2 linked regions of the Callithrix jacchus genome follow. The protein of the gene in region 2 interacts with the protein of the main gene of each other region in a biochemical or structural test. Links are inferred from orthologs where the notes say so. Each region holds a gene or a part of one and is shown on either strand. Other genes may lie near its edges.

Region 1 (4,018 bases), on a different chromosome or scaffold from region 2:
ACATTTTCCTTACCCTTCCGTGGAACCAGTCTTCACAGACTACACACTGGATCATCTCATCTGGAATCTATCAGAGAAAAGCAGTTTATTAAGAATTACACTGAATTCAGGGACATGGAAGTAACCCTGGCACACAGTAGAATAAGATACTAAATATTTATTCTACATGAACTGGTAAACCAAAGGCTTACATTGAGATAAAATACTTTACAAACATCTCAAAGCTCTTTCACATCAGTTACTTAATATCTGATTCTCACAAAACTGTACAGACAAGGAAGGCATTCCCATTTTATACATAAACTCAGCCCCAGGCAAGTAATGTGAGTGGACCAATGCAGACAGTGAAACTGGGACTTTTTAGCACACCATCCTTTAGGGATAGTATACTCAGTTGTATTACTGTGTAAGGATGTTCACTCTAGCCTTCTTTATATTGAAAAATTAGACAACGCCTTTCGGCTGCAGAAAAACCATACTGCCAAGTAAACTGAAAAGTAAATGTTATGAAAAACCCCTCGAGAGATAACTCCTCTAATTTGAATAAATTAAATAATTAAATGCTGACCCTAGAAAAATAATATACCAAAGGACAAAGACTATTTTGGGGATGAGTTTCTTTTATTCGCAGGCTCTCATAACTACTAATTAACATCCCAATGTTGTTCTGTCCTTTTCCTATTGTGGCTTCTTAAAGCGGAAAAAAAAAAAGCACATATTGTGGAATGGGAGGAGCTATAACACTTTACCACATACCTTGAAATATCCAAGTTTAAGCTTTTATTTTTGTTAACTCAGAGACCTTCAATCTGTCCATCTATATAATTTGGTTCAATAACTATAGTTCCAAGGCAATTAGAAAGCAAGGAAGAAGCAGAAGGCTAATATCTCTAAAGACAAAGGGTACTCTTTCAAATCAGTAAATACCCAAACAAAACCCAAACCAATCAAAACATGGTCTGAGGATAAGAAAGGACAATTCAGAGAGAAGGTTATTATGGATGTCCAATGAACTCATGAAAAGATGCATAACTTCACTTATGATCAGGGAAAGAAAAAAAATTTTAAGATACTATTCTTCATTTATCAGATTGGCAAAATGAATTTCAAGAACTGTTAATATGCAGCATTAACAAAAGTTGTTGGGGAAAAAACACTATCATATACTGTTGGTGGTTCAATTTTTTTGGCAGATATGATTACAATTTTATTATTTATTATTATTATTTGAGACAGGGTCTCACTCTGTTACCCAGGCTGGAGTACAGTGCCACAATCCCAGCTCACTTCAACCTCTGCCCCATGGGTTCGAGTGATTCTTGTGTCTCAGCCTCCCAAGTAGCCAGGACTACAGGCATAAGCCACCATGCCTGGCCAATCACAATTTTAAATACCACAAATACACTTTGATCTGTTAATTCTACTGATCCATTCTACATAAATACTTGGAGTATACTCAGCTCTATTACTGTGTAAGGATGTTCACTCTAGCTTTCTTTATAATATTGAAAAATTAGACAATGACATTCTGCTACAGAAGAACAATTAGGCTGACTAACTTATGGCGTGTGAAGTTAGAGGATACTCTGCAGCAGTTAGAACAGGTAAGTGTGTTTTGTTGACATGAAAGAATGTCTATGATATACTGGTAAGTGAGAAAAGCCAGTTGCAGAAGTGAGTGTACAGAATTTTCACTTTTGTTAATAGAAAGGAAACTACACACTGAAATACACATTCACTCAAACACTTTCATGTGCACAGAAAAAGGCCTAAAAATATACACACCAACTGTTAACATGGTTATGCCTGGGAGATAAGAAGTACAGGAGTGAGGAAGAACTCATTTTGAATTTTGCATATAGTTCTCATTGTCATTTTTAAGAGGACACTGTTTGTATATCCTATTTCTTAAAGAGACACAAGAAATTGAAAGCCATTTCTTAGAAAGTGTTTGGGGGCTGGGAGGCAGTCAGGGAAGGAGAGGAAGGAAAGAAGGTCCGGCTTGGGAAAATCCTCTCCAGTATTTCATCTCATGATGTAAAAATGAATAGTTATGTTCCGATTATAGATCCAACCCACATTCATAAGAAAAGATAAATCTAGAACCCTTTCACCATCCCACACTCCCTCCCGAAGAGCCAGAGGCTTGCATATGACAAGAGGTTGAGTCCCAATTCTCTTACCTCATCTTCAGGATCAGGATAAGGTCTCTTGCAAATGCAGTATAATCCAAAAAAGTTGTCATTGTACTTATTGCCAGAATTTACCTTTGCTTTGTCCTGAAATATGATATTGACTTCAATAATAATATGGTCTAATTTTAAGTATAATTTCACATGTTATAAAATTTATGCATTCAATACATTTCCACATTATTTCCCCAAGAGGCTCATCTTTAATTTTCAAAGTAGGAGGAAAAAACTCACTACTTCTAAAGGGATACTTTTTTCAGGGTGAAGGGAAGATATAAAATTTTTTTGTACTTTTTCGTGGTAATTAGGAAAAATTAAATACACATATTCAATAAAGTGGAGATAAAAGTTAATCATAAATATTATCAACCTATGTGAACTGATATTGGCCTGAAATTTCAAAGTACTTCTTTTTTCTTTTTGATAGAGATGGGGTCTCACTATGTTGCCTGAGCTGGTCCGGGTTCAAGCCATCCACCCACCTTGGCCTCCCAAAGTGTTGGGATTACAGGTGTAAGACACCATCCCCAGCCTTATTTATGTATTTTTTTTGGTGGTGGGGAGTCTCGGTCTGTCACCCAGGCTGGAGTGCGGTAGCATGATCTCAGCTCCCTGTAAGCTCCACCTCCTGGGTTCAAGCGATTCTCCTATCTCAGCCTCCAGAGTAGCTGGGATAACAGGCGCGTACCAGCATGCCCAGCAATTTTTTTGTATTTTTAGTAGAGACAGGGTTTCACCATGACTGCCAGAGTGGTTCTGAACTCCTGACCTCAAGGGATCTGCCTGCCTTGGCCTTCCAAAGTGCTGGGATTACAGGTGTAAGCCACCAGGCCCAGCCTATTTATTGTTATTAAGTCATATCCTTTGCTTTAAAAGCCTCAGAGCACAAGCACAACCAATACAATTAAACCTGAATTACTTTCAAGTACATCTCTCCCCCAAACCTTTCATATTAACTACCATCTATCTTGTAGGCTCTCGACAGTTTATAGTTTTTCCAACTAAGTAAGAAATGAAATGCCCATCTGCAAAGAATAAGAACTTCTTTTTTGGAAAATATAGGTATTTGTTTTTTTACCCACTCTGGCAAATATCAACCTCAGCTGTTCTAACTACATTTATAGTTATAGTGCTTACTTACAGGAAATAATTTGCATTCCAAATTTTTAAACTTGCTGTTTCCACAATCACAACGAAAATTTCTGAAAAAAGGAGAAAAGGCCAATTCTATTTTTCGTCTTACAAAATCCAATTTAAAATTTCTTCAAGCATTCAAGCATATAATAAGACTACAATTCTGGAAATTAATATACACAAAAGCAAATATTTATATCATATACACACAAACACACACAAGTAAAACGATGGCAGAGAAAGATGATTAGTTTGAGTTTGTACCATATTATGTTTTTAAAGGCTCTAGAAACAACTCTTTCCAATTATATTATATAAAATAATTATAATAAATTTCACTACTAAAGTAGTGTACAACTGCTTTGCATGAAAAAACAAGATTAGGAAAAAAGTGTAGATGGAAAAGAATGCATACATTTAGAAAGTATTTAATAACAACCTCTGACTATGTTTACCTTTTTGTGTATAGCTCAAATAGTTTGTGACTTCCATGACATTCATAACTGCAAGCTAAACAAATTCCTGCTGGTTCTTCTCCCTCTGGGGTGCAGGTACTACAGGCATATAGTGCTTGTCTCTTTACTGAGCCCTAAAAGACAGACCAAAAATGGAAAAGAGAATTAATGTAATAGCATGGTTTACATAATACTCACACTAGGAACTGAAAAATAATTAAAATCAGATTATGTCTG
Region 2 (4,038 bases):
AGAATTGCTGATTATTTCAAAACTATTATCTGAATAGTATTTATATGTAGCTAAAGAAAGCACTGCGATCCCAGAACTTTCCATCCAATTTCCAAAAACCAAACCTTATATATAATGTAAAATGACACCCAAAATTCTAAATCCAGTCTAATTCAGTAGTATATAGCTTATTCCCAGTGATTTCTCACATTTGCAAGCCCGTTGCACGTTGGTTTCATGTGTCACCAAAACCTTTGTATTACTCTTATAAAACCACATCACTTTGTATAAAAAGTGACTGGAAGAATTTAATATTGTAAAACTGCACGTGCCTCGCGTGACCTGAGCAGAAAACTCCTGGTTTGGGATTTTCTCACAGGCGTGCCTAAACTGACCTCTACTCCTAGCAGGTAAATTGCTAGAAGAAGCAAGTGTCAGCCCAAAGAAAACCCCTGTTGTGTGCTTTTTTTTTTCTCTTTAAACTGATCGCTTTTTAGGTGGAGTTCCCGCTGCATTCTCTAGACCAAAGTCCTTGCTTGCCACCAGATTACCATCTTTTTCACCAATTTGCCACCTCCCTACCCTTCTCCTTTCCAAAAGCCCTCACTGGAAAGAACTTTCTCTCTTGACCCCCCTATTCCATCTAGTTCCAAACGCTCCCAGAGCCTCCCACCTCCGTCGGCTTCCCCTCTCCCGCCTAGAATCCAGGTTCCCAAACCACTTAAGAGGAAATTCACACCCCTCGCCCCCTTCCCGGGCGTCCGGAGGAGACGCAGGGGTGGGGGTGCGGGGGGAGCAGGGTTTTCTGGGGTCTCCTGAGTCTTTCTCGCGCACCCTCAGGAGGTGTTGCAGGGGGAGAGGAGCGCGGGTGGGTGGGACCGGGCCGGGTGGGGGAGGGGTGAGGGCGAGGAGGAGGAGGAGGCGGCGGCGGCGGAGGAGTGGTGTGTGTGCGAGCGTGTGTGGCTGGGGGAAGCCATTGCCTGTTTAATAGTTGCTGTTGCTGCACTTCCGCTTCTCTCCCAGCGAGAGAGAGACACGAGTGGCCAGGCCCAGCCGCAGCCGCAGCAGCAGCCGCCGCGGCGGCACGGAGGAGCCAGACACAAAGAGAGGTACGGGGATCCCCCCAGCGGCCCGCCGCCCCCCGGCCGCGCCGCCGGCCTCGGGGACACCCCTCGCCGCCGTCCCCGACCCGCACCGCCCCGGCCGCCGGGGCGCCGGACACGGGGCCGGGGGAGGGGTGGTGGCGGAGAGGGGCTGGGGAGCCCCAGGGGTCCCGGGCCCGCCCGCGGGGGATGGGCAGGGACCCCGGGCCGCGTGGGTTGCGGGGCCGCCCGCGTCGGGGCTGGGGGTCATTGTGGCTCGAACTGTCAGCGCTGCCCCAGGAGCCCCCCCACTGGCCGCCGAGGGGGCCGGGAGCGGGGGTGGGGGGGAGTTGGGGGAGCCCTGTTTTCCCCAGGGGCGCGGGCTCCTGGGGATTTACCCCTCCGGGGCGGAAGGGCTCATTGTTATTTCTTCGCTGCGGAGGCCGAGCCCCCCCCACCCCACGCCGCAGCCCCTATCCCCCTCCACGAGTGGCGAACGGGCGTGTGCTCCGGACCCCCGCCCGGCTGCGCAGCCCTGAGCCGGGCGGCCCAGAGGCAGGCCGCCCGGGAGGGGCGTCGGGGCGCGGCGCGGGGGGGGGGGGGCTCGGGCCTCGTCGCCCCTGCCCCCCGCCGGCCTCTCCCTTCCCCCACCCGGGCACCCGTTCCCCGCCTCCGTCCCCCTGTTTCGGCTTCCTCTCTTACTCCTTCCCGCCCCTCCTCTCTTCCCGACCTCGCCAAACTCCGTTCGTGGCCCCACAGTCTCACCCGGGCCACCGGTCCCCCACGACCCCCGGAAAGCGTACAAAAACAGCCCCGAGGCCGGCCGGCCGCCGGGACCTTCCCTCCCTGCCCCGCTGCGGCGCCCCGCGCCCCCACCCTGCCCTTCTTCGCCTCCTGGTTACTCCCTCCCTGCCCTGCGGAGAGCCCCGGGGGGTGAGGGAGGGGCTGCTCTCCGAGCTCCAGACCGTTTTCCCACCGCGTTCCCTACTTGGGGCCAAAAATAAACAAACAAGCCGCGTCCGATTTGCAAAAGCCTTAATGGGCCTGCAGACTTTGAAAAGCGAGTGGAGGGCGGTGGGCGGCCGCGTGCGCCCCTGGTCAATGCCCTCCTGACAGCACCCGAGTTCCTTATTTACACTGGCTGCATGGTTTGTGTGTTTCTGTTTTGTTTCCCTCCCCCTGCAGGGGCTGTTTGCGGGGTGGGGTGGGGGGTTCGATATGTCGGATGACGATTCGAGGGCCAGCACCAGCTCCTCCTCATCTTCATCTTCCAACCAGCAAACCGAGAAAGAAACAAACACCCCCAAGAAGAAGGAGAGTAAAGTCAGCATGAGCAAAAACTCCAAACTCCTCTCCACCAGCGCCAAGAGGTACCGTACTCTTTTTTCCACAGGCTTCCTATTTTCCGAACTGCCTCTTGCTGCATTTGGTCTGCCTCCCAACGAGGATAGCTTAAACGCTCCTCACGGTTTGTGTGTTCTTAAAAATGAAAGAAGGGCCTTGGAAACCCTAATTATTTTCTCTATTGCTGCTTCTGTTTTTTAAAATCATTGCCCACATGCAGCTGTTGCGGCTTGGCTCTCGCTTTTCTCGCCGAAGTTTGTAACAATCCTCATCTACTTTTATTAGCGAGCCCCAAATCTGATTTCAGATTCCTTGTCCCACTTAATGGTTAATCTGTGACCTTCCCCAAGGCCATCATCCTGTTTCTTAATTACTAATAACCTGCTCAGACAACTGCATCGAAATGGATTCTATGACCATTTTACCTTCTTTTCACCTGTTGCATGGATGATCTTTTTGGAATAGAGCTTTCTCCACAAATTGTAAAAGGAATAAGAAACTCATATGAGCAGGTACAAAATTTCGTAGGTGAAGACAGATATTCTCTGATGGAATTTAAAGAGATTTTTCTGAGAGTTGAGACGAATGAATCAGTAAGTGATGTAAAATGGTTATTGTAGGTTATTTTTGTGATTCTCTTTGAGAACTTCAGTTTACCAAATTTCAGGGAGACTTTTTTTTCATGCTATTTGCTGTCCTCATGCTGTAAAAATGCTACTTTGCCTTATTTTTTTCCAATTTAAGCTGTGTCTCTTTTTCTTTATTCTTTTCCTCTTACAGCTCTTGGAGGTAGCTACTTTTTACACCTGCCATTCTTCAGTAATATCCTCTGATCCCCATGACACTTAAAATAATCTTTAGTAGATTCCTAGGAACTCCGAGACACCTTTTTAGAAATCCTTCTGCTCTCAGAGTTAGACAGTTAAAAAGGTGGCAAAACGGGAACATAGTAGGGAGTCCGAATGGTGGGTTAGGTAGAGAAACCCTTAAAAATTTTTAATGTAAAGTGGAACATGAGACTTTAGATCTGTCCACTGAGTAGTGAGCCAGGAAGTCAGGGTTTGAGGGTTTGTTCTGTCATTCTGCCTGACTTGTAATTTGAAAATTTGGCAGTGTTTTGGTGACCTAACCATGGGCTGATGGAGTGACTTTTAAAAAATAGTGTGGAGGTCTTAGGTGCCTCTGCAAGATTGTTCTCATTTTTATAGGTTTGGTTTGATCGTAAATCTTCCCAGGAGGCCTAACTGACCCTCACTGATTAGCCCTGTTTGGTTCTCCTGGAACCTGGCATCCACCCTGCCCACTTGGGATGGGCCTTTTCGCAGCACTGCCCTCCACCTCAAGCCTCTAGGCTCCCTGATCCTCATTTAGCTTTTGGCCTCATGTGCTCACGCCAGGATACTTGCTTTGGGCAATTTGCATCTTTATATTTTGCTAGATATCCCTGGTGTACATGAATATATATTTGGGGGTAAAGACACAGGTATCAAATAGAAAATATTCTGCTTTTGTTATGAGTGAATTGTTTTTTTCACTAGACATACTTTGTCCATTTATTTTAAACAAGTTAAAAATTTGTTTGAAAGTGCTGGGAAAGAGATGGTAGATTTTAAAAAATGAAAGGTGGGAGGCT

The links.
Region 1: the proteins of UBE2E1 (region 2) and UBR7 form a complex in vitro, tested with the Homo sapiens proteins (2 studies listed by BioGRID). The link is inferred for Callithrix jacchus from reciprocal best matches to the Homo sapiens genes UBE2E1 and UBR7.

What each region holds. Positions count from the first base shown.
Region 1 is NC_133509.1:128,025,267-128,029,284, reverse strand, and holds part of UBR7 (putative E3 ubiquitin-protein ligase UBR7), read right to left. Parts: intron 3,916-4,018; coding exon 3,782-3,915; intron 3,395-3,781; coding exon 3,334-3,394; intron 2,280-3,333; coding exon 2,184-2,279; intron 68-2,183; coding exon 14-67; intron 1-13. UniProt on the Homo sapiens protein: E3 ubiquitin-protein ligase which is a component of the N-end rule pathway. Recognizes and binds to proteins bearing specific N-terminal residues that are destabilizing according to the N-end rule, leading to their ubiquitination and subsequent degradation.
Region 2 is NC_133518.1:62,153,025-62,157,062, forward strand, and holds the start of UBE2E1 (ubiquitin-conjugating enzyme E2 E1), read left to right. Parts: upstream 1-981; 5' UTR 982-1,088; intron 1,089-2,246; 5' UTR 2,247-2,279; coding exon 2,280-2,431; intron 2,432-4,038. UniProt on the Homo sapiens protein: Accepts ubiquitin from the E1 complex and catalyzes its covalent attachment to other proteins. Catalyzes the covalent attachment of ISG15 to other proteins. Mediates the selective degradation of short-lived and abnormal proteins.